3 linked regions of the Xenopus tropicalis genome follow. The protein of the gene in region 1 purifies or fractionates together with the protein of each later gene. This does not show direct contact. Links are inferred from orthologs where the notes say so. Each region holds a gene or a part of one and is shown in the gene's direction. Other genes may lie near its edges. The genes, in order: bach1, fam83d and mafg.

Region 1 (10,121 bases):
AAGAGCTGAAAGTAGGAAGTAGTGTTCTGGCCATTATGTTAGACATCTGCCCGCTCCAGCCTTTATAGATGAAATTTTTGCCCAACTAACTATATTAAAAACATTTTTTTTGTTTTGTTTTGCGCAGTCTGTCTATTTTACCAGTTTCATTTTTACACTGAACTGTTCCTTTAAGAGTGATGGACAGGGGTGTTTTGACTGTTGATGTTTCTGGCAGCCAACAGAAAGCCCCGTATTGCTTCAGAAATATTCCAATATTCCAATAAAGCTATCCTGACATATATACATGTGTGAGTGTGTGTTGCACTGCTGTTAGGGAGTATAATAGTAATGTTCCTTTGTGCCCTACAGCTGCAGTGATAGATGGAAGCATGCTCTGCGAGTCTGCAGCCCAGGATGTCTTATAATGAGAAGAATGATGCCGCCTTTGCCTACGAGTCTTCTGTGCACAGCAGCAATGTTCTGCGTCGGCTTGGCAGCCAGAGAGAGCAGGGGATCCTTTGTGATGTGACCGTTGTTGTGGAAGATCAGCGATTCCTGGCTCACCGGACGGTGCTCGCTGCCTGCAGTGACTACTTCTTATCGCGGCTCGTTCAGCCGTGCGATGGCGATTTTATCATTACGTTGCCTGAAGAGGTGAGAATGCCTTCTGTGTAGGGGCACTTGTGCAGTCTACTCAGTGCTTCTGTCCATCCTCCCTGCCCTGCATTTTGTCAGATGTTTAGTCCTCCATTGATTGACTACAGTACAGGTATGGGATCCCTTATCCAGAAACCCATTATCCAGAAAGTTCCGAATTACGGAAAGGCCATCTCCCATAGACTCCATTTTAATCGAATACTTCAGAATTGTAAAACTGATTTCCTTTTTCTCTGTAATAATAAAACATGTTTTATCATTACAGAGAAAAAGGAATCATTTAACCATTAAATAAACCCAATAGGGCTGTTCTGCCCCCAATAAGGGGTAATTATATCTTAGTTGGGATCAAGTACAGGTACTGTTTTATTATTACAGAGAAAAGGGAATCATTTAACCATTAAATAAACCCAATAGGGCTGTTCTGCCCCCAATAAGGGGTAATTATATCTTAGTTGGGATCAAGTACAGGTACTGTTTTATTATTACAGAGAAAAGGGAATCATTTAACCATTAAATAAACCCAATAGGGCTGTTCTGCCCCCAATAAGGGGTAATTATATCTTAGTTGGGATCAAGTACAGGTACTGTTTTATTATTACAGAGAAAAGGGAATCATTTAACCATTAAATAAACCCAATAGGGCTGTTCTGCCCACAATAAGGGGTAATTATATCTTAGTTGGGATCAAGTACAGGTACTGTTTTATTATTACAGAGAAAAGGGAATCATTTTTAAAAATTAGAATTATTTGCTTATAATGGAGTCTATGGGAGATGGCCTTTCCATAATTCTGAAATTTCTGGATAATGGGTTTCCGGATAACAGATCCCATACCTGTACTATTGTATAGAGAGAGGCATGCTGTACTCCCATAGGCGGAGGGTGACTTTTTTGTTTGGGGAGGCTAAAGATGGGCCATACAGAGTCTGACCTACAGCTAATGTGAGACTTAGTGGATTTGCTGCTGGTGTAAAAAATTAACCTCCCAACTATCTCTTGCCGTTCCCACTGACTCCCAGGGATTCTGTGCAAAAGTGTGGGTGGGAGGGCTTTTTTACCCTAAAATGCTTAGGATGTAAACGTATTCATACGTGTGCTTCTGTTAGGGGGTCTCCATCCATTTGTGTTTAGGATCAGTTAGCTTAAAGGGGGGGGGGTCACCTTTAAATTAACTTTTAATATAATGTAGACATTGATATTCTGAGACAATTTGCAATTGGTCTTCTTTTATTTTTAATGGTTTTTCAGTTATTTAGCTTTTTGTTCAGCAGCTCTCCATTTGATTTCAGCAGCTATCTGGTTGCTAGGGTCTTATTTATACTAGCAACCAGGTAGTGGTTTTAACAAGAGATTGGAATATGAATAGTTAAGGGGCCTGCATGGAAAAATAAGTAATAAAAAATTACAATAATAATAAAATTGTAGCCTCACTTTTTGGCTGCCGGGGTCAGTGATCCCCATTTGAAAGCTGGAAAGAGGCAGAAGAGAAAGGCAAATTTCTCAAGAACTATAAAAAAATTAATTGGGAAGACCAATTGCAAAGTTGCTAGGAATAGGCCATTCTATAACATACTAAATGTTAACTTAAAAATGAACCTCCCCTTTATATGTGTTTAAGTTAGTTTTATAGAGAGAGAGGCAGTGGGTACTGACATCCCAGGCACATTATATATAGTGAGACGCAGTCTGTATTTACAAAACCAGCATATTACATGCCATGAGAAGCAGTGGGTACAGATGGCTGATATTCTGGCCCTGGCACTATAACACTGGCACCAATACACAACATTGGCCCCACTGTAACTATGAACAAAACAATGACAAAAGTAAAAAAAAAAATAGTAAGTGCAAAAAACAACAAATATATAAAAGCACAATGAGCTTTTTCAGGGGGAAAGAGTTAACTTACCATTCATATGTTAGGGTAGGGGATAGGGATATTATAAATGTCAGATCAGGCAAAAAACTATTTAATTTCAACTAGTGATTTAGCCTTTAGAACTGTATAGTACCTGTGTATAGCACCTGTGTATAGAACCTGGGTACAGTACCTGGGTATAGCACCTGTGGGAGTGGGATGAAATCTCCAGCAAAAGTTGAGAGTTGGTTCTCAGGTAAAGTTACAGTCTGCAGATTCTTCTTTTCAGTCTTTATTTCTGCACTGCCTTCAGTTTGCAAAATCACCCGATCCCTGTGCGCATCTGTGCTTTGATTGGTCAATTTTACTGTCAGTCAAGAAAGCTGTGCTCTGATTGGAGAATCCACAAGAAGAAAGATCCAGTTGGAGCACAGCATAATCGGCTTGCAGGTACAGAAGGTTTCCAGGGCAGTGCAGAAACTGAATGAGGTTTGTTTTTTTTGTTTTGTTTTTTCAAGGTGCCAAGCAGGTTTGGGGAGGCTTAGCCTCCCCTAGCCTTATTGAAAATCCGCCTATGTGTACTCCTGCTACTGTGGAATAACTCCCAGCTCTGCAGCTAAGGCCATACTAAAAGTTAAAGGCCTAAAATGCCGCACGGTTGCTGATTAAGAAACCTTTGTTAACATTCCTTTTTAATTTTTTTTTTGTAATGTCTCAGAATAGTACTTTCTACATTATACTACAAGTGTATTTAAAGGTGAACTGCGCCTTTAAATAACATTGTCATATTTTGTACTTATCTGCATGTTCGCATCAAATCACTAGGAGCAGCCATGATTGCTCTGATTGTGTCTGATGTATTTTGCTTTCCAGAGGCCAAACAATGATATAGTATATGATTGTATTTAAAAGAAGAAAGAGCCACACAAAGCTGTTATTCCATATCTATAACTATGATGCATACTGCTGATTGCAGTAGTTTGACAACTTTCATTGTGTCACTGTTATAGTGCAGCATAGTGCAGGCATAGATCCCAAAAGCAGTTCGTCCAGGACCGTGGATTCGGCCGAATCCAAACCTTGTTGAAAGAAGTTGAATCCTGGCCCAATACCGAACTGAATTCTGGATTCGGTGCATCCCTATCCCCCAGGGAATATAATTGCTAACCTCGGTACTTACCATAGGAACACCGTGCCACAAATCTTACTAAATTTCCCAAATACTCCTTGTGGCTGTTGAGGACAGGGCCACCCACAATGTGCATGCACTTTGCAAAGTAACAGTGGGAAATACCATATAGAGCACCGCTTCTAGGGTCCCTTTTCCAGTAAAGAGGGGTGCCATCCCAGGGTTCCAGGTTTGGGTATATATATATATTCACAAGCTTTGCCCACCACTGTGTTCAAATGTGTTACATGTATATAACCGAATCAGTAAATGCACGAGATATCCATATATGTGTGCAACATCTATAAAAAGGCTCTTTTCTCTTGTAGGTAACCGTGAAGGGCTTTGTTCCATTATTGCACTTTGCTTACACCTCCAAACTCCACGTCAACAAAGACAACCTATTAGCAATCCAAGAGTGTGCAAAGATTTTGGACATCCATGATATAGAAGAAGCCTGCTTTGAGTTTCTCAAATTAAAATACCAAGACCTCAAAGCCGACCTTCAGGAATGCCCTCGGAAGAAATGCTGCAAGTCGTTTTGTCCTAAGGCAAACGTTCAGCGTCAGCCTGACGTGCCCACCAACGTCGGAATAAATGAAGTTGAGGAACTTTGGAGAGCAGAGCTCCCCTCAAAAATCAAATGCGCGGCTGAGATTGAAAACATATCGACAGTTTCCGAGAGTCCAAAGAAGCCCTGTGAGACATTCTGCTTTGGTCGGGAGAATGACCCCGACAGTTCTGCCCTTTGCCCAAAATACAGGAAGTTTCAGAAAGCCTTTAAGAGCGACCGGGTTCGATCGATAAGCACATGCTCCAGCAACCAGGATGTTCCAAGCCCATTGCCTGTCCAGTCGAGTGAGGCTTCGGAAAATGTTGTTATGGCCAGATCCCAAAATCAGCCTCTAGAAATGGAGAGGAATGAGTTAAATCCACAGGACATCAATGTTACATACCTCAACCTCCCTTGTGAGGAAAAGACCAGTGGCAAAGCTGAGTTCCCTCCTAGTTTTCCCCTGGGACAGCAGGATTTTAACCCTGCGCCATTTCAATGTTCATTTCAGCCCTACAGAAGCTTAAACTACAACGAGGTGCCGGACCCCACTATAGAAGTTCTGCCGGAGAAGCCCAACAGTGACCAGCATGTCAGTCCGACAGCTGATTTATCCAGCACAAAGGAGCTACCAGGACCCGATTTGTGTGTCCCCGAGGAACGCAGCAATGTAGAAAGGGAAGTAGCGGAACATCTTGCAAAAGGCTTTTGGCCTGATATTTACAACAGCGAATTTCATTGCCAGCCAGAGATAGAAATGGTGCCTAATAATAAAGAATCACGTGAGGAAAGTAATGAGGAAAAAAGGCAAGAGTGTCCGTGGCTGAACATCACCATCAGTGAGGGCGGTGAGAGGACTTTTACAACTCTGAACTCGGTCTCTTGCCCCTTCATCAATACCCTCTCCAGCGAGGGCTGTGCCAACAACTCCCAACTCATGCTGGAGGAGTGCATTCAGGAGAAACAGCAAGACACGACCTGTCCATATGCATGTTCCATGACTCCCGAAGGCGACTCGGAAACGGACAGCGAGGACGACAGTGAGGAGTCCTGTTCCGCTAAAGAACAGGAATGTGAGGTAAATCCAGGTTGTTAGATTTCAAGTCCAGGAAGTATATCACAAAAATGGTGTCCCCCTTTTTATACAGGTATGGGACATGTTTTCCAGAATGCTCGGGACCTGGAGTCTTCTGTATAACAGATCCTTCTGTAATTTGAACCTCCATAACTTAAGTATACTAAAAAATATTTTAAACATGAATTAAAAACAATAGGATTGTTTTGACTCCAATTAGGATTAATGATATTTTAGTAAGAATTAGAAGTAAGAAGTAGTAGTAGTACAGGTATGGGACCTGTTATCCAGAATGCTCGGGACCTGGGGTTTTCCGGATAAGGGATATTTCTGTAATTTGGATCTCCCTAACTTAAGTCTGCTAAAAATCATTTAAATATTGAATAAACCCAGTAGGATTGCTCTGCCCCCAATAAGGGGTAATTATATCTTAGTTGGGATCAAGTACAGGTACTGTTTTATTATTACAGAGAAAAGGGAATCATTTAACCATTAAATAAACCCAATAGGGCTGTTCTGCCCCCAATAAGGGGTAATTATATCTTAGTTGGGATCAAGTACAGGTACTGTTTTATTATTACAGAGAAAAGGGAATCATTTAACCATTAAATAAACCCAATAGGGCTGTTCTGCCCCCAATAAGGGGTAATTATATCTTAGTTGGGATCAAGTACAGGTACTGTTTTATTATTACAGAGAAAAGGGAATCATTTAACCATTAAATAAACCCAATAGGGCTGTTCTGCCCCCAATAAGGGGTAATTATATCTTAGTTGGGATCAAGTACAGGTACTGTTTTATTATTACAGAGAAAAGGGAATCATTTAACCATGAAATAAACCCAATAGGGCTGTTCTGCCCCCAATAAGGGGTAATTATATCTTAGTTGGGATCAAGTACAGGTACTGTTTTATTATTACAGAGAAAAGGGAATCATTTAACCATTAAATAAACCCAATAGGGCTGTTCTGCCTCCAATAAGGGGTAATTATATCTTAGTTGGGATCAAGTACAGGTACTGTTTTATTATTACAGAGAAAAGGGAATCATTTAACCATTAAATAAACCCAATAGGGCTGTTCTGCCCCCAATAAGGGGTAATTATATCTTAGTTGGGATCAAGTACAGGTACTGTTTTATTATTACAGAGAAAAGGGAATCATTTAACCATTAAATAAACCCAATAGGGCTGTTCTGCCCCCAATAAGGGGTAATTATATCTTAGTTGGGATCAAGTACAGGTACTGTTTTATTATTACAGAGAAAAGGGAATCATTTAACCATTAAATAAACCCAATAGGGCTGTTCTGCCCCCAATAAGGGGTAATTATATCTTAGTTGGGATCAAGTACAAGGTACTGTTTAATTATTAAAGAGAAAAAAGAAATTATTTTTAAAAATTAGAATTATTTGCTTATAATGGAGTCTATGGGAGATGGCCTTTCCGTAATTCGGAACTTTTTGGATAACAGGTTTCCAGATAAGGGATCCCATACCTGTACTAAGAAATAGAGGGTACATTTTTTATTATTACAGAAAAAAGGGAAATGATTTTTAAAAATTTTCATAAAATGGGGGGTATGGGAAATGGCCTTCCCAAAATAACTTTTTGGATTAATTATAATCCAGAGCCTTCTGGATAGTGGGTTTTTGGATGCCAGATCCCATACCTGTATACGAAAGCTTATTGGCAGGGTTTCATAACGGTTTTTACCCAAAACACTTATGATAAGGTTATTTTTTACTGTTGCCTATTGCAGGATATTTCACACTTATCCTAGTTTTATCCTTGTTTGTTTATATTTATTTATAACAAACAATTAAAGTGCTGTGTAACTCGCTGGCGCTATAGAAATAAATGATCATAATTTTAAAAAGGTCAGGGAGATACACACTAAACAGACATACACAGACCTTGGCATTTGGCCAGTTCCCCTGACAGACGTATTTAGCCACCCAGGTGATCCTTGAGCCAGTGATTGGATCATATAGGATCATATACAGCCGTATCAGGAGGACTGCATTCATAGCTTGATATTGTCCTCGCCTGATGGGATTTTCTGCCCGTCCCAAATAGCTATTTGGCCTCATGTATGGACTCATAAACCTATAGTGGCCCATGTATGACTGGGCCATGATGTAGGGGAAAAAGGAAGTTTTGAGGAACACTTTTGCTTAAAAATGTTTGAATCTGGTGCTGGCAATGTTTAATTGGTGAGTTTATGTTGAACTTGATTGAACAAGTATAATTTCGTTATATTTGTAGTGCTTTTGCTCCCTGGATTCCCGGCTGGGCATTACCTTGTAGTGCCTAGCTAGGTATCCTGTGACCAGAAGCTCCACCAATTAAACAAAATGAATTTCAAGTTAATGTATGTTTAAGACCAGTTAATGTATGTTTCACCCTCTCCAACAAATATACAGATAAATGACATAGGCTGTTTGTAGTATGTTGTATGCCCTTTAGTAATATACATTCATTCTGATTCAGCAGATGTTTAAGCCAAAAATATGTTCTTACATTGTCCTCTCAATACAAACCTACATGGATGATTCTAGTGCAAACGTCATTCTAGGAAAGAGCCTCTGAGTTCATATAGTCATACTTGGCACCAAGTTGGTTCTTTAAGGCGTTGCGTGTCTGCGGTCGGCTCTTTGTTTACAAGACAACATGCAGCACAGATCAAACGCACAACATAGATCAAGCTGAAAAGAATGTACTGAGCTTTTCTGTAGGTGCTATATAGCTTATATGCTATAGCCCATGGCTTACAGGGATTCTATTGTCAAAATAAAGCATGTCTGATTCCGGGAAACAGTGAATCATTTTATATAAAAGCTGGGGAAAGTAGATTTTCATTGGGTTATATGGACCCAGACACAAAGGTCGCCTCCAGTTTAGTAACATAGTAAGTAACATAGTAAGTTAGGTTGAAAAAAGACATATGTCCATTAAGTTCAACCATAATGCCTATATATAACCTGCCTAACTACTAGTTGATCCAGAGGAAGGCAAAAACCCCATGTGAAGCCTCTCTAATTTGCCCCAGAGGGGAAACAATTCCTTCCTGACTCCAAGATGGCAATTGGACCAGTCCCTGGATCAACTTGTACTGAGAGCTATCTCCCCTACCCCTGTATTCCCTCACTTGTACTGAGAGCTATCTCCCCATACCCCTGTATTCCCTCACTTGTACTGAGAGCTATCCCCCCTACCCCTGTATTCCCTCACTTGTACTGAGAGCTATCTCCCATACCCCTGTATTCCCTCACTTGTACTGAGAGCTATCCCCCCTACCCCTGTATTCCCTCACTTGTACTGAGAGCTATCCCCCCTACCCCTGTATTCCCTCACTTGTACTGAGAGCTATCCCCCCTACCCCTGTATTCCCTCACTTGTACTGAGAGCTATCTCCCCTACCCCTGTATTCCCTCACTTGTACTGAGAGCTATCTCCCCTACCCCTGTATTCCCTCACTTGTACTGAGAGCTATCTCCCCTACCCCTGTATTCCCTCACTTGTACTGAGAGCTATCTCCCATAACCCTGTATTCCCTTACTTGCTAAAAAGCCATCCAACCCCTTCTTGAAGCTATATAATGTATCAGCCAGCACGACTCGGGGTGGGAATCCCACAACTTCACAGCGCTCACTGTAACAAATCCTTTCCGAATATTTAAATGGAACCTCCCTTCTAAACGGAGGGGGTGCCCTTGTGTCAGTTGAAAGGACCAAGTCTTGACACCTTTCCAGAAAAGTGGAGATCTAGACTTTCTGCAACGACACTTCTTGAGATCCGACTCACTTCTGTAGTGATAGGGGAGGATCGGGAAGTCATACGATGCAGGCAGGAAACATGTAGAGCAAGAGTCCCCAACCTTTTATACACATGAGCCACATTCAAATGGAAAAATTGTTGGGAAGCAATACAAGCATTAATAAAATTTCATGGGTGCCAAAGAAGAGCTATGATTGGCTATTTGGTAGCTTATATGGGCTGGCAGCCTACAGAAGGCTCTGTTCAAACTAGTGCAGAGCAGGAAGCTATATTTGTTTAATAGGGTTAATGTATGTCTTTAATAAGTTGTGATAGTTGCTTATTATTTCGAAGAAAGAACTTTATTCACCACTAATTTCAAATTCTATCTGTAATGAAATTTCATGCATCAAGGAAATCCAAATGTCTAATATTTTTGTCCTTCATTGGACTTTTACTAAATGATATATTAATTTCCATTGGTATTTATATTGGTATCTTGTGATGGTTTAATTGCAGAAGTTATGCATATGGTTTTTTACATTTTATTTTTTTGCTAAATTTGAACATTTTTTCCCCAGACAAAACTGCCATTCAACGCACAAAAAATAATTTCCCTTTCCCGATATGACTTCCAATCACTGGTCAAAAGGCACAATCTCTCGGCCGAGCAGTTGGACTGTATCCATGACATACGGCGCAGAAGTAAAAATCGAATAGCTGCACAGCGATGTCGCAAGCGGAAACTAGATTGCATCCAGAACCTGGAGTGTGAAATCCTTAAACTGGTATGTGTTATTTTGCTGAAATGCCTCTTCCTTATATTCGTCATTAAATATCTATCTTGTTTATAGTTCTTATCAGGAGATTCCGTTACTCTATTCTAACAGATACACTTAGTCGCCCGCGACAAATCTCCCTGTTCGCGGGCGACTAATTTCCCCGAAATGCCATCCCACCGGCGAAAATGTAAATCGCCGGTGGGATGGCATACGCGGCGGCGCGATTTCAGTGAAATCGCGGAAGTTGCCTTGAGAGGACATTTTTGCTGGTGGGATGGCATTTCGG
Region 2 (10,221 bases), on another chromosome or scaffold:
AAAAGTTAATAAATCGTGAATGGATCTTTGCCCAATTTGGCCACTCATGTGCAGTGCCAAATTATGCTGATCTTTGGTCAATAGGTCTGGAGACCCTTTGGGGAGGACCCTCCATAGGTCAGGAAGGCTGTCCCAATGGCCCAATATACAGGCCAATAATCTGGCAACTTGGATCAGGAGAGGCCAAGTGTCCAGTTTTTATTGGCCTGTGTACTGGCAGCTTTATTTTCCAGTTGGCTTTTTGATCTGTAGCATTTGACCAGTATTTCTGGTCAAATGCTACAAATAGAAGTGTTGCAGAATAAAACTAGGATTGGCAAGCCCTGTTCCTAAAATCTTACAATCTGCGATGGAAGTAAAGTGAGCAGTTGAGTTGCTGCTGCGGCAATCAACCCTCCTGTGCCATAGCCACCAGAATGTAATGATAATCTGTTATCATTCAGTAATTAACTTCTCAATCTTCTACACAGAGAGCTTCTCTGGATTCTGAGCAAACACTGGGCCCTTCTGAATCCCAGTTCCGGAATGGATTCTGCCCTCCTCTGCCTTCCTGCTACTGCCCTTCTCCGCTGCCTGATATCCCGGTGCCAACGCCACTTACAAACGGTAACATCAGCCACTCCCTGCCCTGTTATACCGGAAGCCCCCTGTGGAGCAGCATCCTGGACCAAGCCCCCCTAACTCTGTCTGAACTGAAAAGGCAAAGGTCTGCAGCCAAACAGGGGAGACTGATGCTAAAGAACAATAGCGACTTGCAGAGGCTCACAGGGCTAGATTATAACAGCCCCGGCACACCTCCCTGGTGCTCCAATGGGGGGCCCGTTTACTATACCCCAACCAGTGGGGACCCTCCCATCCTGAGGTTAAAATCTCCCATGGAGGAAGAGGAGGAGACGAGAATATTGCATTGCTGTCGGATATCCTAAACTGGAGGCCGTGGCTTTTGAGAGAATGTTCTGGAATAGCGTACAAGTGCAATGCATGCTAGTTTCATGTATATCTGTACATAGGAAGTCATGTATGCCTGTAAATACTGACCTGTATCTAGCTGTATATAGAACACCCCACTCTACCTGCCTATACAGAGTTTTACAAGTACCTCTTCTGTACACAAATCTGGCTGTATGTACACCATGTAGTGTATACTTGTACAGAATCTACCATTGTAAATGCAGGGCTCTTTATATCTGTATATACACGACAATGTATATCCACAGAGCTGTATAGTTCTGTACAGGTACTGCGGGGGTGTAAATATGCAGAGGGGTGTAAATTTGAGGGTGAACTGTTTATTTACAACAGTTTGACTGCTGTATGTAATGGACTGGTATAACTTGGGCAAATGGGGCATAAGTGGGCGCTGCTGAGAAGTACTCGGCCTTGCCCAGCTGGCACCACAGTGTCTGCCATAGGCAGAGCGTTTCCTATTCCCTTTATGGGGGTTGTTGGAGGATGATTAAAGACATAGTACTGCAGTTCTCCCTAAGACACCATGGGGTAATTAATACACTATGGTCCTTAGTGGTCAGGGGAACCGGCCTGTGATCTGAACTGGGTAACCAAGAAACATAGAATTTGACAGCAGAAAGGAGGCAGTTGATCTGCCAGTTCTGCCCAATAAACGCCTAAAAGGGATCATCACACGATTTACTGCAGCCTTTACTTGTGCGGAGTTCTTTTCTGCCCTTCCAAGGTTCATATTTCATATATTTATATATTTATATTTGTCCAGTGCTTTTGTTTACTCAGCTTCAGCCAAGCTTTCCTTTCTGTTCTGCCTCAGGCACCCACAGGCAGCAGTGTAGTGAGTGTTAATAAGTATCTGGCTTTGCCTTGTGGGACCTGCGCTCTGATATTCAGTGTAGGACTAGAATTCCTGCCGAAAAGCAAAGCAGGACTGCTGTCCGGTAGTCAGAAGGGTAGCAGGAAATAGTCTCCCCAGTACACTATTGCTCCCTACAGCAAACACTTTTCTTTGCAGTTTCACCCCCCCACATCTGCAGGAAGATTGGACTGACTTCAAGGCAATAAATCTCATGCAGAGAGGGGTTTGATATGGAGTTAGAGCGGTATTTGCCTGTTATTACGCACGTGTACCCCACGATAATCAGCCGCGACCCTTAAACGTTTTACAGGTTCAGTGTATTCCAAGCTCCTTTTATAATAAAGCTCATTTTAAGGAGAGTCACTTGTGTCTTTTTCTGATCCCTTATTAAGGGTGTCTCACAGCTTCTCAGCGATTTAGTATCTCAAACCTAGAAAATATGGCGGGAGAGCTAAATAGGGGTGCTCCTATGGCATACCCCCCAAATGTCTCGCTTTCTGCGGGACTGTCCTGGTTTTTATAGTGCATCCCGCTGTCCCGGACAAATACACAGTGCCCCCATAGACGCTCCTTCTTCTGCAGTTTGGCTACTTATGTTTCTCCTTGTGCGGCGGCAACAGGCCCTTTTATAAGGCTGCGCCCCGTGCGTATTGACGTCACATGTACACACGGGGCGCGACCCTTTAAGGAGCCGCAGAAGAAGAAGGAACGTCTATGGAGGCACTGTATTTGGGGGGTACTGTCTATGCGGGCAATTGGGGACACTTTCTATGGGGGCATTGTGTATGTGGGGTACTGTCTTTTGGGGCACTTTCTATGGGGCACTGTGTATGGGGGCTACTCTCTATGGGGCAATTGGGGGTGCTTTCTATGGGGGGTACTGTCTATGGGGGCAATTGGGGCACTTTATGGGGGGTACTGTCTATGGGGCACTTTGTATGGGGGTTACTGTGTATGGGGGAACTGTGTATGGGGGGTACTATCTATTGGGCCATTGGGGGCAAAACTGGTACATAGTTATAACTCACTTATAACTGACTGCCTTCTCTCTATATTTGTATTTTATATGTATGAGTTGCTATATCATTTCCCTTAGGTAGTACAGTATGAGGGTATAGCACATTTTGCGTCTGATCCTGCCATTTCAACTATATAAAAGGAGTATTTTTTTTTTCTTAAAAATGGGGTGTGGTAATTGGGTCATGGTTACAAAAGTGGGCGTGGTCAAAAATTGCCATGCTGCGCGCGCCAAATCTTTTTGTCCCTCTTTTCATTTTTTAAATGTTGGGAGGTATGGTATGGGTGAGCATTTCTGCCAGGTTCTAGCCGCTGGGTTTTATGCCAATGGGCTTGCATTCAGTACAAGCTGCCCCATTGCGTCCCTGTTGGGTTATACTTCAGGCCAGCCAGTCACAGTCCTGGAGCAGGGGTTTAGGGTTATATGTGGATTGAAGGGGTGAAACTGGTGGTCAATGGCTTCTTTGATGCTTTGGGGATATCACTAAGGGGTCCTACCTAAAATGATGCCCCCCCCACCTTTTCCATGTTTGGTATCTATCATCTATCTATCTATCATCTATCTATGTATCTATGTATCTATGTATCTATCTATCTATCTATCTATCATGTATCTATCATCTATCTATCATCTATCTATGTATCTATCATCTATCTATCTATCTATCTATCTATCTATCTATCTATCTATCATCTATCTATGTATCTATCTATCATGTATCTATCTATCTATCTATCTATCATGTATCTATCTATCTATCATGTATCTATCTATCTATCTATCCATGTATCTATCTATCTATCATGTATCTATCTATCTATCTATCTATCTGTCTGTCTGTCTATCCGTCTATCCGTCTATCCGTCTATCCGTCTATCCGTCTGTCCGTCTGTCCGTCTGTCCGTCTGTCCGTCTGTCCGTCTGTCCGTCTATCCGTCTATCCGTCTGTCCGTCTATCCGTCTGTCCGTCTGTCCGTCTGTCTGTCTGTCTATCTGTCTATCCGTCTGTCTGTCTATCTATCTATCTATCTATATTTCATCTAATCCAGCAGTTCTCAACCTGTGGGTCGGGATCCCTTTGGGAAAACACATATTTCCCATGGTTTTAGGAATAATTTTATGGTTGGGGGTCACCACAACATGAGGAACTGTATTGAAGGGTGGTGGCAGTAGGAAGGTTGAGAGCCACTGATCTAATCTACTGTACAGTATATAGATGACATAGTAGTTCCTCCCCCCCCCCTCCTTTTCCATGTTTGGTATAATCCTATGGTTGTGAAGCCCTGGGGACAAACCGACACTCAGGCAGCAGACAAGTGGTTTCCCAGCCTTTCCCTTTCATAAGTACAGTACTGAGCTAATTGGCCAGTGAGCGCTCGGCATTGACAGCATGGGCGTTTCTGGGTGCTTCTAGTCCAATCAGCAGGCGGGGGTGTGATTGGCTCCACCAATTAGCGCGCTCCCCGGGCTTGTTTGGATTTAAATGCCCGATAAGTACGCTAGTCTCACAGCCCATCAGTTCTGTTCCCGGAGCGGCTCCGGGTTGTTAGGTCCCTAGCAGCCAATAATGGCTAATAACTCCCAGTGCCTGGATGATATGCCCATGGGAGGGCGCTGGCCGGAGGGCCCCCCGGATCACTATAACGAGGCTCACCGACTGGCGGTGGAGGAATTAGTATCCGGGGGCCCGGAAGCCATGCGGGGATTTCTGAAGCGGGAGCGGCTGCCGAACTTCTTGTCGGAGCCGGAGGTGGGGGAGATCCTGGGCTGCGCCTCGGTGCTTCCGTGCGGGGATGAGGAGAACTCCGTGTCCGCCTCGGTGGATTGCTCGTCCGTCACTTACTTCCCCGATCGCTCGGACGTGGAGCCGCCTATCCTGGAGCTGGGCTGGCCGGCCTTCAGCACCGGCTCGTACCGCGGCGTCACACGGGTGGATGTGCACTTCCAGCCCAGCTTCGGGGACACCATCTATACCTGCAAGGAGGCGGCCCGGGAGCTCATCAAATCGGCCCGAGAGGTAGGGCTGGGGGCAAATCGGGAATGTCCCCCCCTAGTATTGGGATACTGTCTCCTTAGGGGTGAAGACACACAGAGCTACTTAGTAGTAGCTACTTGTCACGGCTACAAAACACCAGAAAATCCCCTGCCATAGACAATACTGAGAATTGCCTCTGCTAAAACACACGTAGAGACAATTATCAGTAAATGATCAGCATTGTCTGTTTTAGTAGCCACAACAAGTAGCTGCTACTCGTAGCTCTGTGTGTCTTCACCATAAGGACAGTGACACACGGGGAGATTAGTCGCGGGCGACTATTCTCCCCACAATGCCATCCCACTGGCTAGAATGTAAATCGCTGGTGGGATGGCTTACGCGGCGCCGCGATTTGCGAAAGTCGGCGAAGTTGCCTTGAGGGCTCTGGCACAAATCTCCCTTGTCACGGGCGACTAATCTCCCCGAACTACCATCCCACCGGCGAACATGTAAGTCGCCGGTGGGATGGTACACGCTGCGCCTTGTGAGGCATTTTCGGCGATTTGACGAAATTGTGCCGCCGCGTGTGCCATCCCACCGGCGACTTACATTTTCGCCAGTGGGATGGCAACTCGGGGAGATTAGTCGCCCGCAAACAGGGAGATTTGTCGCGGGCAACTAATCTCCCCATGTGCCAGAGCCCTAAGAGGAAACCAGCGACTTCAGCAAATCGCGGCGCCACGTATGCCATCCCACCGGCGATTTACATTTTAGCCCATGGGGAAGGCATTGTGTCACAGCCCTAATAGCTTTTTTTATTTTACTTTCAAGGGCCCCCCTTGTCCCCTGGGAAAATGCCATAAAACAGCCTTGGGTGGGAGTGAGAAACAGGATACACACTAGGATTAAAGGGGAGATGCACCCAAACATTTCTAAGCAACTTTTCAGTATCCTTTATAGAGTTCCAATGGTTATTTGTAAATGCAAGTTACTACTGAAAGGTATGCTTGTTTATCCTTTGTTTGGGCCCAACTCAGTGGTAGGACTACAAGGGAGGCAGGGGGGGGACCAGGCTCCCCCAGTCGCCCCAGTGATTCATTGCTTCAAGGGAGGAGAACAAAGTCCTGCAACCACCCCCCTCCACTAAACTGAATGGGAAATGCCACCATTGTGCCTTGTCTCTGCATTTTAAGCCACAAGATGTGACTGTGCTGTTTTCCATTAAGGAGGGGTTTGTTTATCCTTACCCAACTCCTTTGAAGTAAATAAATCCCTGGGGGGAGAAAATGCTGCAAATCTCCCTGTGTACCATTAGGGCTCTGGCACACGGGGAGATTAGTCGCCCGCGGCAAAACTCCCTGTTCGCGGGCGACTCCCTTAGGGCTCTGGCACACGGGGAGATTAGTCGCCTGCGACAAATCTCCCTGTTCGCGGGTGACTAATCTCCTGAAATTCCATCCCACCAGTGAAAATGTAAATCGCCGGTGGGATGGCATACGCGACTGGCGAAAATGTAAATCGCCGGTGGGATGGCATTTCAGGGATATTTGTAGCTGTCACTTCTTGCTGTAATAGTGGGTTTTTAGGGTGGCATATTAACACACAAGGAAAAAGATTTTATTTCTAGCAGCTACTAATTTGATTTGTCACTTGTTGAACTACAACTACCAGCATCGTCCGGTGTAGCCTGAGCCAAGCTTGCACTGTATCTAAAAACAAATCATCTCTATGTCCCCTTTGGGTTCTCGTTTGCTCTGTAGATGTTCATTTAACTGTTTTGCTTGAAGCCAGAGGGAATGTGTAAGCCCAATGCTGAGGTATGGGTGGGATATGAGCAAGCAGGGAAGGGGTGCCTGTTACTGCAGGTGGGACACGGCAAGTTCCATCATGAAACAAACTGTAGGACTCTGGGTGCCTTGTGAGAATTCCCCCAGCTTTGTCAGCAGTCCCCTCAGGGGACCCTGTAATACAGGAGGTATGCTTGCAGTGCCAGGGGCGGTTAAATATGGCAAGTATATTCATATCTCCAAAAAGCTCTTCTTTTTTCCTCTCATTCATAGAATTAACCCCTAAGCCAGTGGTCCCCAACCTTTTTTGCACCACGGACCGGTTTCAAGCAAGACAATTTTTCCAAGGACCAGGGATGGGGGGGTGGCACAACTAGTTCATAGTATATCATTTAATTACATATATAATGTAATTATTAAATGTTATGTTATGCACTTTATTATTATTACATACAGCTTAATAATACAAGTACTTTGGTCCTTGTCGTGATCAGTAGAAAGCTTCCTGGGCTTCACATAGCTGTCATGGCTGTGTAACACATCGGGGAGTTGGGATCACAGGTAATTGGGACCAGAGGTGGCCTGTTCAGCACAGCCCATGGCCCGGCACCAGTCCCCGGACTAGTGATTGGGGACCACTACCCTAAGCCCACAATAATGGTTAATGTATGATGGAAAAGACTATGCCCTTCCAATTCTAGAGGATCACCCCCGAGGAACCCGTCCTCTTCTCCCATAAACTCCCTGCCAAAAAAGGGTAACTGCCACCCACATTGGCAATATTCTGCCCCATATAAGTAAAAAATTTGAACAGCCGTGCCCTTTTACTTGCAATGCTGACCAGAAGAGCTTTTTTGTGCCCCTACAATGGCATGGAGGGTTCACATTACTAGTGCAATTGCTCTTTCTGCACTATAGGAGCTGTATTTCCAGTTTAAAAAATGGAATTTTAGCTCTTTAAAAATTAAGGTTACCAGAAGCAGCTTTTACCTGCCCCGGTAACCCGTGGGACACTGTCACTTGAGGCGCTTTTCTTAACTTGGAACCCCTGGTAATCAGTCGTTTTCTTTAGTCGCTGAGCACTCTTGATGCCTTAAGTTGGGTCTATAGGGCCACCACTTGCTAATTACTGGCCTACTAAATAAATATATATATATATATATATATATATATATAATAAAAAAAAAAACCAAAACAGATATATAGATAACATTGCTTGACCCCCGGGATTATCATGCGAAAATCCTTTTTTCCCTTTACCGTATGAATCTGTTCATCTAGCTTACAAAGACTCTTCCTTGGAAACAAGTGCCCTTGTTTCTAAGCTTTTGTCTCGAGCTCATCTGTCACGCGCTGTGCAGGCTTGTGCCCTATTGCCCGGTTTAGCACAAATGTCTGTTCCCATAGCTACACAGCAACTTATTTATACGCTTTAGTCAGGGCTCTAAAGCAATCTGTCTGTGCCAGTGGAGGAGCCTAGGAAACCATGGTGTCGCTGGTCCTTTCGTCTTTCAGTTATTCTGTTTATGTTCTCTGCACTACTGGTTCTAACTTCTGAAACAATATAGCAGAAACCAGCTGATTTACACGCCTAATGGAGAATAGAACCATTATTTTTTTAAATTAAATTATGATTAAATAGGTAGAGGTCCCATTTGTCTGAATACTGAATAAAGGTGGTTTTAGAACTGAAATTGTTACTAACCTCCTTGCCCAAGGCACCCCCCGCCCCCATATAAATATATGGCTCTTGGTTCAATGGGGACTACTGCTTGTGTGCATTTATTATTATTATGCCCTTGGGGGTTACCCTGAGCAATTAAACACCCACTGCACTGTAAGCATAGTATCTACATTACTGTACTCCCTGAAGGGACTTCTGACAATGCTGGGAAAATAAAAACCCAATTAAGTCTGGCATTTATGTGCCTGTGCTTGTCCTATGGCTCTGCAGATGCTTCCATTCCCCTCTTTTTCTGCCACTGCATTAATATTGCAAGAGTTGGAACCATCAGGGATCAGTATACTGTATTCCTATAGTGCCACCAAAATAAAAACCGTTGGCTACCAATAAAGGCAGTTAATCTACTCCTTATCCATAATTCTCTTATGGTTCCTTATTTGTGTTTTGGTAGCTGATTGTTATTGTGTCTGAGCTTTTTTTTTCATGTTTTCTGCAGACCCAGTTTGTAGCCAGGTAATCAGAGCTTTAAAGGGGAAATATGCCATATTTATAAGAGGGGGTTATCTTTATTTGTAAGGCCTGGACTGGCAATCTGTGGGTTCAGGCAAATGCCAGAGGGGCTGCTGTAAGATGCCATAGACAGTCACTATTTATTGGGCTGGGGGGGGGGCTGTTTGTGCCTCTGGGTACTTGGAATGCCAGGACCCAGGCCCAGACTGGCAATCTGTGGGTTCAGGTAAATGCCAGAGGGGCTGCTGTAAGGTGCCATAGACAGTCACTATTTATTGGGCTGGGGGGGGGCTGTTTGAGCCTCTGGGTACTTGGAATGCCAGGGCCCAGGCCCAGACTGGCAATCTGTGGGTTCAGGTAAATGCCAGAGGGGCTGCTGTAAGATGCCATAGACAGTTACTATTTATTGGGCTGGGGGGGGGCTGTTTGAGCCTCTGGGTACTTGGAATGCCAGGGCCCAGGCCCAGACTGGCAATCTGTGGGTTCAGGTAAATGCCAGAGGGGCTGCTGTAAGATGCCATAGACAGTCACTATTTATTGGGCTGGGGGGGGGGGGGTCTGTTTGGGCCTCTGGGTACTTGGAATGCCAGGACCCAGGCCCAGACTGGCAATCTGTGGGTTCAGGCAAATGCCAGAGGGGCTGCTGTAAGATGCCATAGACAGTCACTATTTATTGGGCTGGGGGGGGGGGGGGGGGTCTGTTTGGGCCTCTGGGTACTTGGAATGCCAGGACCCAGACCCAGACTGGCAATCTGTGGGTTCAGGCAAATGCCAGAGGGGCTGCTGTAAGATGCCATAGACAGTCACTATTTATTGGGCTGGGGGGGCTGTTTGGGCCTCTGGGTACTTGGAATACCAGGACCCAGGCCCAGACTGGCAATCTGTGGGTTCAGGCAAATGCCAGAGGGGCTGCTGTAAGGTGCCATAGACAGTCACTATTTATTGGGCCAGTGGAGGCTGGTTGGGACTCTGTGTACTTGAAATGCCAAGGCCTGTATTGAATGCCAATCCGGGTCTGACGGAGGCCAGAGCCCTAGCACATATCATACTAGATCTAGATATAATTATTCTTGTATCTGTTCTTGTTCTTTGTTTACAGGTCATTGCTTTGGTCATGGACAACTTTACTGATAATGACATATTCAGGGATATCCACGAGGCTTGCCGGAAACGTAGGGTCCCTGTCTACATTCTGCTGGACCAGACGCAAGTTTCTCACTTCCTTACTATGTGTTACAATCTGGGGATTTCCATTGAAACCGAGCAGGTGAATAAGTAGTCTAATTGGTTTTTAGGGTCACAAATAGTGAAAAGGAACAGGGCAACCCCGTTTTGCCGTCTAAATGTTACTCAGACTCCTAAGCGTTGTGTTGCCTTTTTATTGCTATTCCATCCCAATGTCCATAGTTCTGTTCATGTTTC
Region 3 (10,211 bases), on another chromosome or scaffold:
AGGTGAAATTTGGGGAGACTTAAGAGCACTATTGAGAGAACTGAAGGTATGCCTGCAGCTTGAGATTAACTCTTTATTAGCCTTTCCTTCTCCTTTAATTTAAATGTGAATCCCTGAAATAATAGTGATGGACTTTTGTAATTATAATATCTGTCCAATATTTCTCAATGTCAATAACATTTAACAGAATTGTGATTTCATTTATTCAGAGAACATATGAACCATTCCTTATTCCTGATTGCTGTATTCATATTCTTACTTTGTCCCTTTCCGTTACTGTGACTGACAATAGAACCTTCTGCCTTCTGATACAGGGAGTTGCAGTATTTGGCTGATCAGGAGAAAATTCCAGCAGCAGCAATCAAGAAGACAACATTGAGCAAAGTCCAACAGGAATCTCCTTCAATATCCACTGCCCCTCAGGGATCAAAAGTCAGTCTATTTAATAATAAGTACCCAGCAGGAGTTAAAAAGTTTTAATAGGAAAAATAAAGCCATAAAGAAACTAGCTTGAGAACTGAAATTGGGACTGGGTATTATTGGGGCTAGGTCTCACAATATGTGTGAAGAGGGGCTGATCTAAACCTTTTGATCTCCCCCATTACATTTTAATTAATTTTGATATACATAATTAAAGCCAACGGTTATCTGTAAGATATGTAACTAGTAACTTAGATTGAAAAAAGACAAGTAACCAAGCAATTAATATGTATACCTACCCTGTCATATCCAAATTTAAAGGAGAGCTAAACCCTAAAAACAAATAGAAATGCCATATGTATACTATAAATTGAACTAACTGCATCAGCAGTTAAAACTAATGAAGGGTTACTTGCCAATTCACATGTGTATATAATACACGAGCCATGAATATCCTGTAAATTATATCCTTATAAATGATGCTTACTGTAATTTGTGTCACGTGACTCTTTGAAATAGTGTTCCATGGCCCTTGTCCTCATGGCCATATATGGTCATCGAACTCCGTGGGTGACTTATAATATCCTTATATTTTACAAAATGGGATGCATTATTTCCTTTATAATTTTATTACTTTTAACTTATTTAAGTTCAGGGAGCAAAAATAGCAATTTCTCTCCTGACAGGGGACTAAAAGACCAAGTAAGAGAAAGAGCTGAATAAGGGCATAAAGACTGAAAGAGCAACTTCTCTTTTTTCAGACTGCACATGGATCAATCTGTTCTTACTTCAGACAAATTAACTCTTTAATTTGATAGAGCAAAATGCAATTTAACAATTTAAAAGTACCCTGTTCTTTGTCAAATCTCTGTTGTGAATAAAACACAGGCACAGGCTTTTATACAAAAACTTGTATATGCCTGTACGATCAAGCTGGTCAATTGGCTAAAGCCAACAATATATATTTTGCATTTTTATAATAAGATACATTGTACCATTATTAAGGCACATGCACTGGCACATCTATATGGGACTAAACAACAATGTTGTCTCCCTCTCCATATGAACCTAAATGTAACAGTGGCTGTATCGCAATTATGTATGATAAACTGCAAGTACAACATCTCAGCAATAAAGTCCACTACATTGGAATACATAAAACTTTATAGGCAAAGTAATACAATTCATGAATAGAAACACATAGTTGTTCTTTTGTTCTCAAAGTTTACTGAAAAATTATAAAAACAAACAAGACTACATTTGTATACAAAAATAAACATGTTTTCATGTACATTGTCATCAGAATTTTTTTGACAAGGTGTACATTCAAAACAATAAACACGGTTGCTAAGTGGGGAGATCCTGGTTGGTGGCTGCAATTATTGGGTTCCCTCTGGGGCCCTCTTTGATGGCCCAGGAGGCCAGAAGAGGATTTGGGCTAATTTCCCCTTTGCTCATGCCTAGGGGATTCATTGGCCTCCAAGAGGTACAGCCGTCTGGTTAACTTCAGTAACAGTAAGGTCCTGTGACCTTATAGGTTAATTTTAGTACAACATGTAGGCAACAGAGCAGCAGATGCCATAGAAGTGCTATTCTCTGTACTTGCCTTCCTCCTTTTAGGAGTGCATTTACTCTCAGTGCAGAATGCACTTAACCTGATCAACAATTATAGTGCATGCATAGTTATTTTCTCCCCCTCTGGGCCTGATCAACAAATATAGTGCATGCATAGTTATTTTTTCCCTCTCTGTGGCAAATTAGGAAGACATCGGAAGGGTTTTTTTTGCCTTCCTCTCAGCAGCCAGCAGTTTTGCAGGTTATTTATAAGCATTAAGGTTGAACTTGATTCACGTGTGTCTTTTTTTCAACCTAACTTACTCTGGTACTAACGAACACCTAGAAATTTATTTTTTGGTAATGTATGAGAAAAACATGAAAGAAGACACATATCCCCTGCTAATCGATTTGTTAGGAAGACTGGTTATTACAGAGTAAATGCTACAGACTGACCAGGTGGGACTGATTAGACAGCTGGCCAATCAAGAAGCTGAAAGTCTGGCTAGTCGGCCTACATGAGAGCTCTGACTGAGAGACATAGGTGTCTGTGAATCCAACATACAGGAATCTATGTGGCTGTACACACTCAGTTGCCTTTGCAACTGAGTTCTGTAATATTGCTGAAATTGATGTGTCACTGTAATGGAGGAATTCTCTTTTATACACTCTTGTTACATCTGTATCTGGCTATTGAAGTAAGATTTGTATCTGCATGTGTAAATTGCAAGAGGGTGACGGATCTAAGCCTGCTCGTGAGCAGCACAAACCCAAATGCCTGAAGTGCTGTGTATATATGGATATAAACAACAAGTTGCTTTACTGTTAATGTACAAATGCAGCTTCACCAGCACCCAGCCCGGCTCCATTCCTTTATTTTCCCTTTGCACATGTTTGCTGTTGAGTGTGGCCACATGACATGCCACAGCAAATGAGCTTCCACTTTGCTCTGTCACTCACACATTTCTGCGTCACTGACGCAGACCAGGGAGCCAGAGATTCTGAAGGGTGGGAGATGGGAGGCTGCTTCAGTAATTTTCCATAACTTTGTAACAATGCAAGTTATAAATTGTCAAAATTTTTGTCTAGACTTTATATTTTCAATATTATAAAAACATTTTTCATGATTGTTCCCCTTTAAGCAGTTTGATAGTATAACAATCCTCCCTACATGAACCATGTGTCCCTAAGGGGCCCTAATTGATTCTTCACAAAGGACGAACCACTCAACCTATATTATTGTACCTTGCTTCAAATACCATATTTTACATATTCTCTTGCCAAGTGAAAATGAGTCTGAACTCCATTCTTTCTCCACCAATGAACCTTTGTCAGTCATCTACAGAAACAAGGTTGTCTTGAAGGCTATATCCCTTCCAAGTGTTATTTAAATAGTTGCCAGACCTGGAACTTAATAGTGAATATAAACAGGTATTGCACTGATGACATGAACTTGAGTGTATGGAATGGGGGACCAGTCCTCCTTTTCCTACAATAGCCAATTTTCCTTTTGCAAAAGAGTCACTACTTCTGCTCCTCGGAACTACAGCCTCTCCAGAATAATATACAACCATCCACATGGCTTCCAGTTCACACATGTACAAAGTTCTGCTGGCCCATCATAGTTGCCTTGGCTGTTGGACATGCTTTGGACATGCCTTGCTGCAAGTGGTTGCTGGGCCTTCTTATCCCTCCCAGCAGGGCCGGATTTGTCTTCTGGGCGCCCCTAGGCCACCCCCGTTGACCCCCCCCCCCCCCAACGCGCATGCGCGAACGAGTGAACAACCACCTGCGAGCACGCATACGCACACATTTAAAGTCCCATAAGATGTTCCCACCGCTCCGAATGGAAAAAAACTTTAAAAACCCTGTTGCGGGGGGCGTGCCGCCCCTACATTTCTGCCGCCCTAGGCCCAGGCCTTTATGGCTTCTCCACAAATCCGGGCCTGCCTCCCAGTCAAGTTATGGTACAGCTTTTGGATGTCCCCATACGTCTGCAGGACAGGAAGAGCAGCCTAGAGAAAATGAGATTTTCTTACTGGTAAATCCTTTTCTTGGATTTACTGTCAGTGCAGTAAGCCCCCCCCTTATCTCCTTTAGAGTAGTTGGCCTATGGGGTACCTGGCTATGCTGCCATGGTTATACAGTTGCTTAAAATTTTTGTTTTGTTCTTCCTTTTCCATCTAGTTATCCTTCAACAGTTTTTTTATGTACTCTTTCTTATCCTATCCTGTGTTTTTTGTTTTTTTTAAATACAGCCTCATCGCAGGTGAGCCACCTGCACCTGGAGAGAGCTCCTAGCGCACGCAGCCATGTTATTTAGTGCACATTAATAGCTGTGACAAGTAGCTGCTACTAAGTAGCTCCATGTGTCTTCACCCTTAGAGTTGTTAAACTAGGAGTATCTCACGGTTCCACTGTTAATAAAAAGACCCATTTGGATTCCTGGAAAACTACCCATTTGAAAATATATGAATAAACCTCACGCTCCAGGTATACTCTCTTTACAAATTGAACTATCCTCCAATGTGGGAAAAAAAGTAAGAACTTATTATCCCAATGGACTAAATACAAAATATCCTGGTTAGGACGAAGATGTTTATTTTACCAAAACTATATTTTTTTCACTCCCTACTTATTCCAGTACCTAAGACTGGGCTCATTACTTCACAAAAACTTTTAAACAGGTTCATATGGAATCATGGCTACCCTTGTGTTTTGGGTGCCATTTTATGTAAACATAAGAAAAGTGATGGTTTAAATTTTCTCAGTTCATTAAAATATTATCAGGCAGCTCAAATATCTCCTATAACTGTATTACGTTTCCGATTAACACAATTTTTTTGTGGTTAAAATCACAATATGCCAAAAATTTAGAGTAACCACGATAATTTCTGATGTTCGAAAATTATTTTATCGGTCGTACGAAAATATTATGGTTCGTTTTGAAAGTCACAAAATTTTCGGATCTGAACGTTCAGAAATGGCCCAAAAACCTTTCTGGCTTTGAAACCTTCAATGCATGATTTTGAAAGCCTTCCCAACTTGGCCAAAAGATAGTCACGATACCAAAGCTTGAATAAATTCCGAAATGATTGCAGTCTTTACGAAAAATACGACTTTCTTGTGGAAGTTAACGAAAACCACGAAAAAGTTGTGACATTTTAATGAAATTATCGTGGACATTACGAAAAGTTCAATAAATTAGAAAAAATACAATTTTTTCTCAAAAATAAAAATTGTGGTTTAATGAATGGGCCCCTAAGTGTAAGGGATTTCAGTTTTATCCATTTGCCTTCCATGACAAGCAGGCCCTAGAGCCTAGACCCTCAAAGTTTGTTTGTAAACATCCTGTAACTAGGATGAAACACAGTAGTAGTCACTGCAGACTATGAAATATTTCATTTCCAGTAACATGTAATATTTGATGGTATCCTTTAGCCAAACCTTAAACCATGTGACCAGCCTAAGAAAGTCTTGCTCAGCTGCAGCATCTGACTTCAGATCTCCCCTAATGTTGCTTCCTCCTTCCACTTTGGTCCAAATTTCATCCATGAAGTTAAGGATGGATATAAGGCTAAGATATTAATGCTAAACCTCACGTTAGGAAGCATTTTAATAAATATAGATGTTTTCAAAAGAACCCAGGATACTTCCCATAGTAATAGGGTTACAATGCTTACCAACAAAACCAAACCTTCTTTTAGGTAGTTAAATGTTATACTTATCTATTTCTTATCTAAAACTTTTGTCCTTTCTTCATCTTTATGACAATTACAACCTGAACTGCATCTTTGTTTTATAATATTTATTTGAATTTCTGCTCTTTCAAAACATTCCCTTATCTTTAGAATTGTCATCCGACAGACTTCCGGTAAAAAAAATCTTCCACGTTCAGCTACTCCCCTTCCTGTGATATCACATTGTCCAATAAGCACAGATCAGACCTGTGCTGGCTCCCACCTCTTTAAAGCCACAAGCTCCTCTGCCGGGGAACACAGAAATGTGGTTCCAGTGGTACAAATGTATTTTCCCAGTGTATCTTCAGGAGGCAGTTGCTAAACCCATTAGCTGTTGCTAAGTGGCAATCCTATCCCTAGAATAAATATTGTTTGCTGGTCATAAATTCCTGCAAACGCTTCTTTATTTCATCCTGGGCAACGGAGTTACTAATCCTGTAGCCTGCCTCCTTGCTTAGCTGTCCATCTGTCACCCTGCCCTCCTCTAATTCTGATTGGATGTGCTGCCAGAACCTGTGTGAGTGACATGATGCACACTGGGTTCTCCGTTAGCTGAATGGAAACGTTTTCTCCCCCTCCTTCCCCTCCCTGTTGGATAACAGAAAAGGTATGCTTTTTTTTTTCATTTTCTGCAGTCACAGTAGAAATATGAGACATGGGCTCTGTACAGGGAAAATTATTTTTGCACAGCAGCTGTCAGTTGTGTGGGCTCTGAGTTTAGGAACAAAAAAGAGAGAATATTCATTGAAACGCCTGGAGCGGAAAAGGGAATGCAAATTTTTTTGGAGGGGGGTGGGGCATGGTATTCTTTCATCTATATGACAATTACAGGCTGAACTGCATGTTTGATTCATAAGCCCCATTTGCCCTGTTCCAAGGCGTATGGGTCCAGGGGCACTGGAGACAAGCAAGGCTTATTTACAGATGGGAAGGCACACATTGTGTTGTGTTTCCTTTCATCCTGGCATCCTGGGCAATTCAGCTACTGATCATGCAGCCTGCCTCCTTGCTTAGCAGTCCATCTTCTGCCCCGCCCCCTCTGCTTGTGATTGGATGTGCTGCCAGGCACTGTGTGAGTGACATGCCCCACACTGGTTCTCTGTCGGCTGAATGGAACCACTTGCTCCCCCTTCTCCCTCCTTCCCCCTCCCTGTTGGATAGCAGAAAAGGTATGCTTTTTCATCTTCTGCAGTCACAGTGGAAATATGCAATGTGCGCCCTGTATGGGGAAAAGGGTTGCTAACAGAAATTCATAGACTCTCAGCAGGTGCAGAGACTATATTCTCTTGCCTTATAAATGTATTCATTAAATGCAGGCTTCTGGGCTTTTGCCTTATAAATGGATTGAATGTATTCTGCCTGGAGAGCTGTTTTCTGTGCCTCTTTTATTCTTCCCATCTCTAATGTGTACAACTGGGAGTTCTCGGCCTCTCTTGATTAACTGGCTATGCAGGTACTGATAACATGGTGTGAAACTAAGTTTAATACTATATTTGGCGCATATACAGTGGTGTGAAAAACTATTTGCCCCCTTCCTGATTTCTTATTCTTTTGCATGTTTGTCACACAAAATGTTTCTGATCATCAAACACATTTAACTATTAGTCAAAGATAACACAAGTAAACACAAAATGCAGTTTTTAAATGAGGGTTTTTATTATTTAGGGAGAAAACCTACATGGCCCTGTGTGAAAAAGTAATTGCCCCCTGAACCTAATAACTGGTTGGGCCACCCTTAGCAGCAATAACTGCAATCAAGCGTTTGCGATAACTTGCAACAAGTCTTTTACAGCGCTCTGGAGGAATTTTGGCCCACTCATCTTTGCAGAATTGTTGTAATTCAGCTTTATTTGAGGGTTTTCTAGCATGAACCGCCTTTTTAAGGTCATGCCACAACATCTCAATAGGATTCAGGTCAGGACTTTGACTAGGCCACTCCAAAGTCTTCATTTTGTTTTTCTTCAGCCATTCAGAGGTGGATTTGCTGGTGTGTTTTGGGTCATTGTCCTGCTGCAGCACCCAAGATCGCTTCAGCTTGAGTTGACGAACAGATGGCCGGACATTCTCCTTCATGATTTTTTGGTAGACAGTAGAATTCATGGTTCCATCTATCACAGCAAGCCTTCCAGGTCCTGAAGCAGCAAAACAACCCCAGACCATCACACTACCACCACCATATTTTACTGTTGGTATGATGTTCTTTTTCTGAAATGCTGTGTTACTTTTACGCCAGATGTAACGGGACACGCACCTTCCAAAAAGTTCAACTTTTGTCTCGTCGGTCCACAAGGTATTTTCCCAAAAGTCTTGGCAATCATTGAGATGTTTTTTAGCAAAATTGAGATGAGCCTTAATGTTCTTTTTGCTTAAAAGTGGTTTGCGCCTTGGAAATCTGCCATGCAGGCCATTTTTGCCCAGTCTCTTTCTTATGGTGGAATCGTGAACACTGACCTTAATTGAGGCAAGTGAGGCCTGCAGTTCTTTAGATGTTGTCCTGGGGTCTTTTGTGGCCTCTCGGATGAGTTGTCTCTGCGCTCTTGGGGTAATTTTGGTCGGCCGGCCACTCCTGGGAAGGTTCACCACTGTTCCATGTTTTTGCCATTTGTGGATAATGGCTCTCACTGTGGTTCGCTGGAGTCCCAAAGCTTTAGAAATGGCTTTATAACCTTTACCAGACTGATAGATCTCAATTACTTTTGTTCTCATTTGTTCCTGAATTTCTTTGGATCTTGGCATGATGTCTAGCTTTTGAGGTGCTTTTGGTCTACTTCTCTGTGTCAGGTAGCTCCTATTTAAGTGATTTCTTGATTGAAACAGGTGTGGCAGTAATCAGGCCTGGGGGTGACTACAGAAATTGAACTCAGGTGTGATAAACCACAGTTAAGTTATTTTTTAACAAGGGGGGCAATCACTTTTTCACACAGGGCCATGTAGATTTGGAGTTTTTTTTCTCCCTTAATAACGTAAACCTTCATTTAAAAACTGCATTTTGTGTTCAATTATGTTATCTTTGACTAATAGTTAACTGTTTTTGATGAGCAGAAACATTTAAGTGTGACAAATATGCAAAAGAATAAGAAATCAGGAAGGGGGCAAATAGTTTTTCACACCACTGTATATGCATGCTGTACATGGTTCATTGGTCATGTGTGAAAATGTTATCTGTCAACCAGTGCATGGCCACTTGTACTGTTTCTGTATCCGTCTATTTGGCTCTGTGGCTGATCAGTTGGATACCATACAGGTTCTGCCAGTGTACGGACAACTTAAAGGGGACATAGAATGTGTCAGTGCATTATACTCCTCTAAATATAGAAGGAAAGTGAAACATATTCTCACCAAATCCAGTGGAGACCAAAACAATAGTGTGAGTGCATTCAGTTTATTTAGGGATGTTTAAGAAAATATGTTTTGGATCACTAGGGATCCAAGTTGAAACCTTTTTGCAGGGGCCGTTAGGACATGCTCATTACTCATTTCATACATGGACAAGGGGCCATAGATGGGACAGCTGGGAGCTCCAATAAAGGGTCCTTTTTTCTATAACTTTATTAGTTTTAGAAGGAAAAAAAACGAGATAAACAATATACTTGAAAGGTGAAAGTTACAGGAAAAGGTTCCATTGTTAAAGGAACAGTAACACCAAAAAATGAAAGTGTATAAAAGTAACTAAAATATAATGTGCTGCTGCCCTGCACTGGTAAAAGTTGTGTGTTTACTTCAGAAAGTCTACTATAATTTATATAAATAAGCTACTATGTAGCCATGGAGGCAGCCATTCAAAGGAGAAAAGGCACAGGCACATAGCAGATAACAGATAAAACACTATTGTATTCTACAGAACTTATCTGTTATCTGCTATGTAACCTGTGCCTTTTCTCCTTTTTCCAGCTTGAATGGCTGCCCCCGTGGCTACACAGCAACTTATTATATAAATTATAGTAGTGTTACTGTAGCAAACACACCAGTTTTACCAGTGCAGGGCAACAGTGCATTATATTTTTATTACTTTAAAGCTCATTCATTTTTTAGTGTTACTGTTCCTTTAAAGCTAATGATCACTTTAGTTCAGAATAAAACCTGTACCATATACAGATATGGAACCTTTTATCCAAAATGCTCAAGGCCTGGGGTTTTCCAGATAAAGGATGTTTCTGGAATATGGATCTCCATACATTAAATTTACAAAGAAATTATTTAAATATTAAAAAAAACGCAATGGGACTGTTTTGTCTCTAATAAAGGATTAATTTTATCTTAGTTGGGATCAAGTAAAAGGTACTGTTTTTAATTACAGAGAAAATTCAGAGACTTCTGGATAATGGGTTTCAGGATTAACCTGTATTATTCATTGCCTATAAAATAAGGGAGGTTTCAAAATACGCTTTATGACTCCTTGAAACCCTGTGTTATGCTGGCAAACATAGGAATGTTTATTACTTATCTTTCTATTCAGACCCTCTCCTATTCATATTCCAGTCGTTCATTTAAGCCACT

The links.
Region 2: the proteins of bach1 (region 1) and fam83d purify together in Homo sapiens (co-immunoprecipitation; 3 studies listed by BioGRID and IntAct, counting the BioPlex papers as one, with this or other methods). This does not show direct contact. The link is inferred for Xenopus tropicalis from reciprocal best matches to the Homo sapiens genes BACH1 and FAM83D.
Region 3: the proteins of bach1 (region 1) and mafg purify together in Homo sapiens (affinity purification with mass spectrometry; 5 studies listed by BioGRID and IntAct, counting the BioPlex papers as one, with this or other methods). This does not show direct contact. The link is inferred for Xenopus tropicalis from reciprocal best matches to the Homo sapiens genes BACH1 and MAFG.

The regions. Positions count from the first base shown.
Region 1 is NC_030678.2:16,548,054-16,558,174, reverse strand, and holds part of bach1 (transcription regulator protein BACH1), read left to right. Parts: intron 1-351; 5' UTR 352-363; coding exon 364-636; intron 637-3,997; coding exon 3,998-5,299; intron 5,300-9,634; coding exon 9,635-9,841; intron 9,842-10,121. UniProt on the Homo sapiens protein: Transcriptional regulator that acts as a repressor or activator, depending on the context. Binds to NF-E2 DNA binding sites. Plays important roles in coordinating transcription activation and repression by MAFK.
Region 2 is NC_030686.2:40,351,082-40,361,302, forward strand, and holds the start of fam83d (protein FAM83D), read left to right. Parts: upstream 1-4,339; 5' UTR 4,340-4,410; coding exon 4,411-4,860; intron 4,861-9,898; coding exon 9,899-10,066; intron 10,067-10,221. Other genes in the region: ppp1r16b (protein phosphatase 1 regulatory inhibitor subunit 16B), read left to right, coding at 471-926.
Region 3 is NC_030686.2:27,979,855-27,990,065, reverse strand, and holds the start of mafg (transcription factor MafG), read left to right. Parts: upstream 1-5,194; 5' UTR 5,195-6,270; coding exon 6,271-6,321; intron 6,322-10,211. Other genes in the region: pycr1 (pyrroline-5-carboxylate reductase 1, mitochondrial), read left to right, coding at 315-480. UniProt on the Homo sapiens protein: Since they lack a putative transactivation domain, the small Mafs behave as transcriptional repressors when they dimerize among themselves.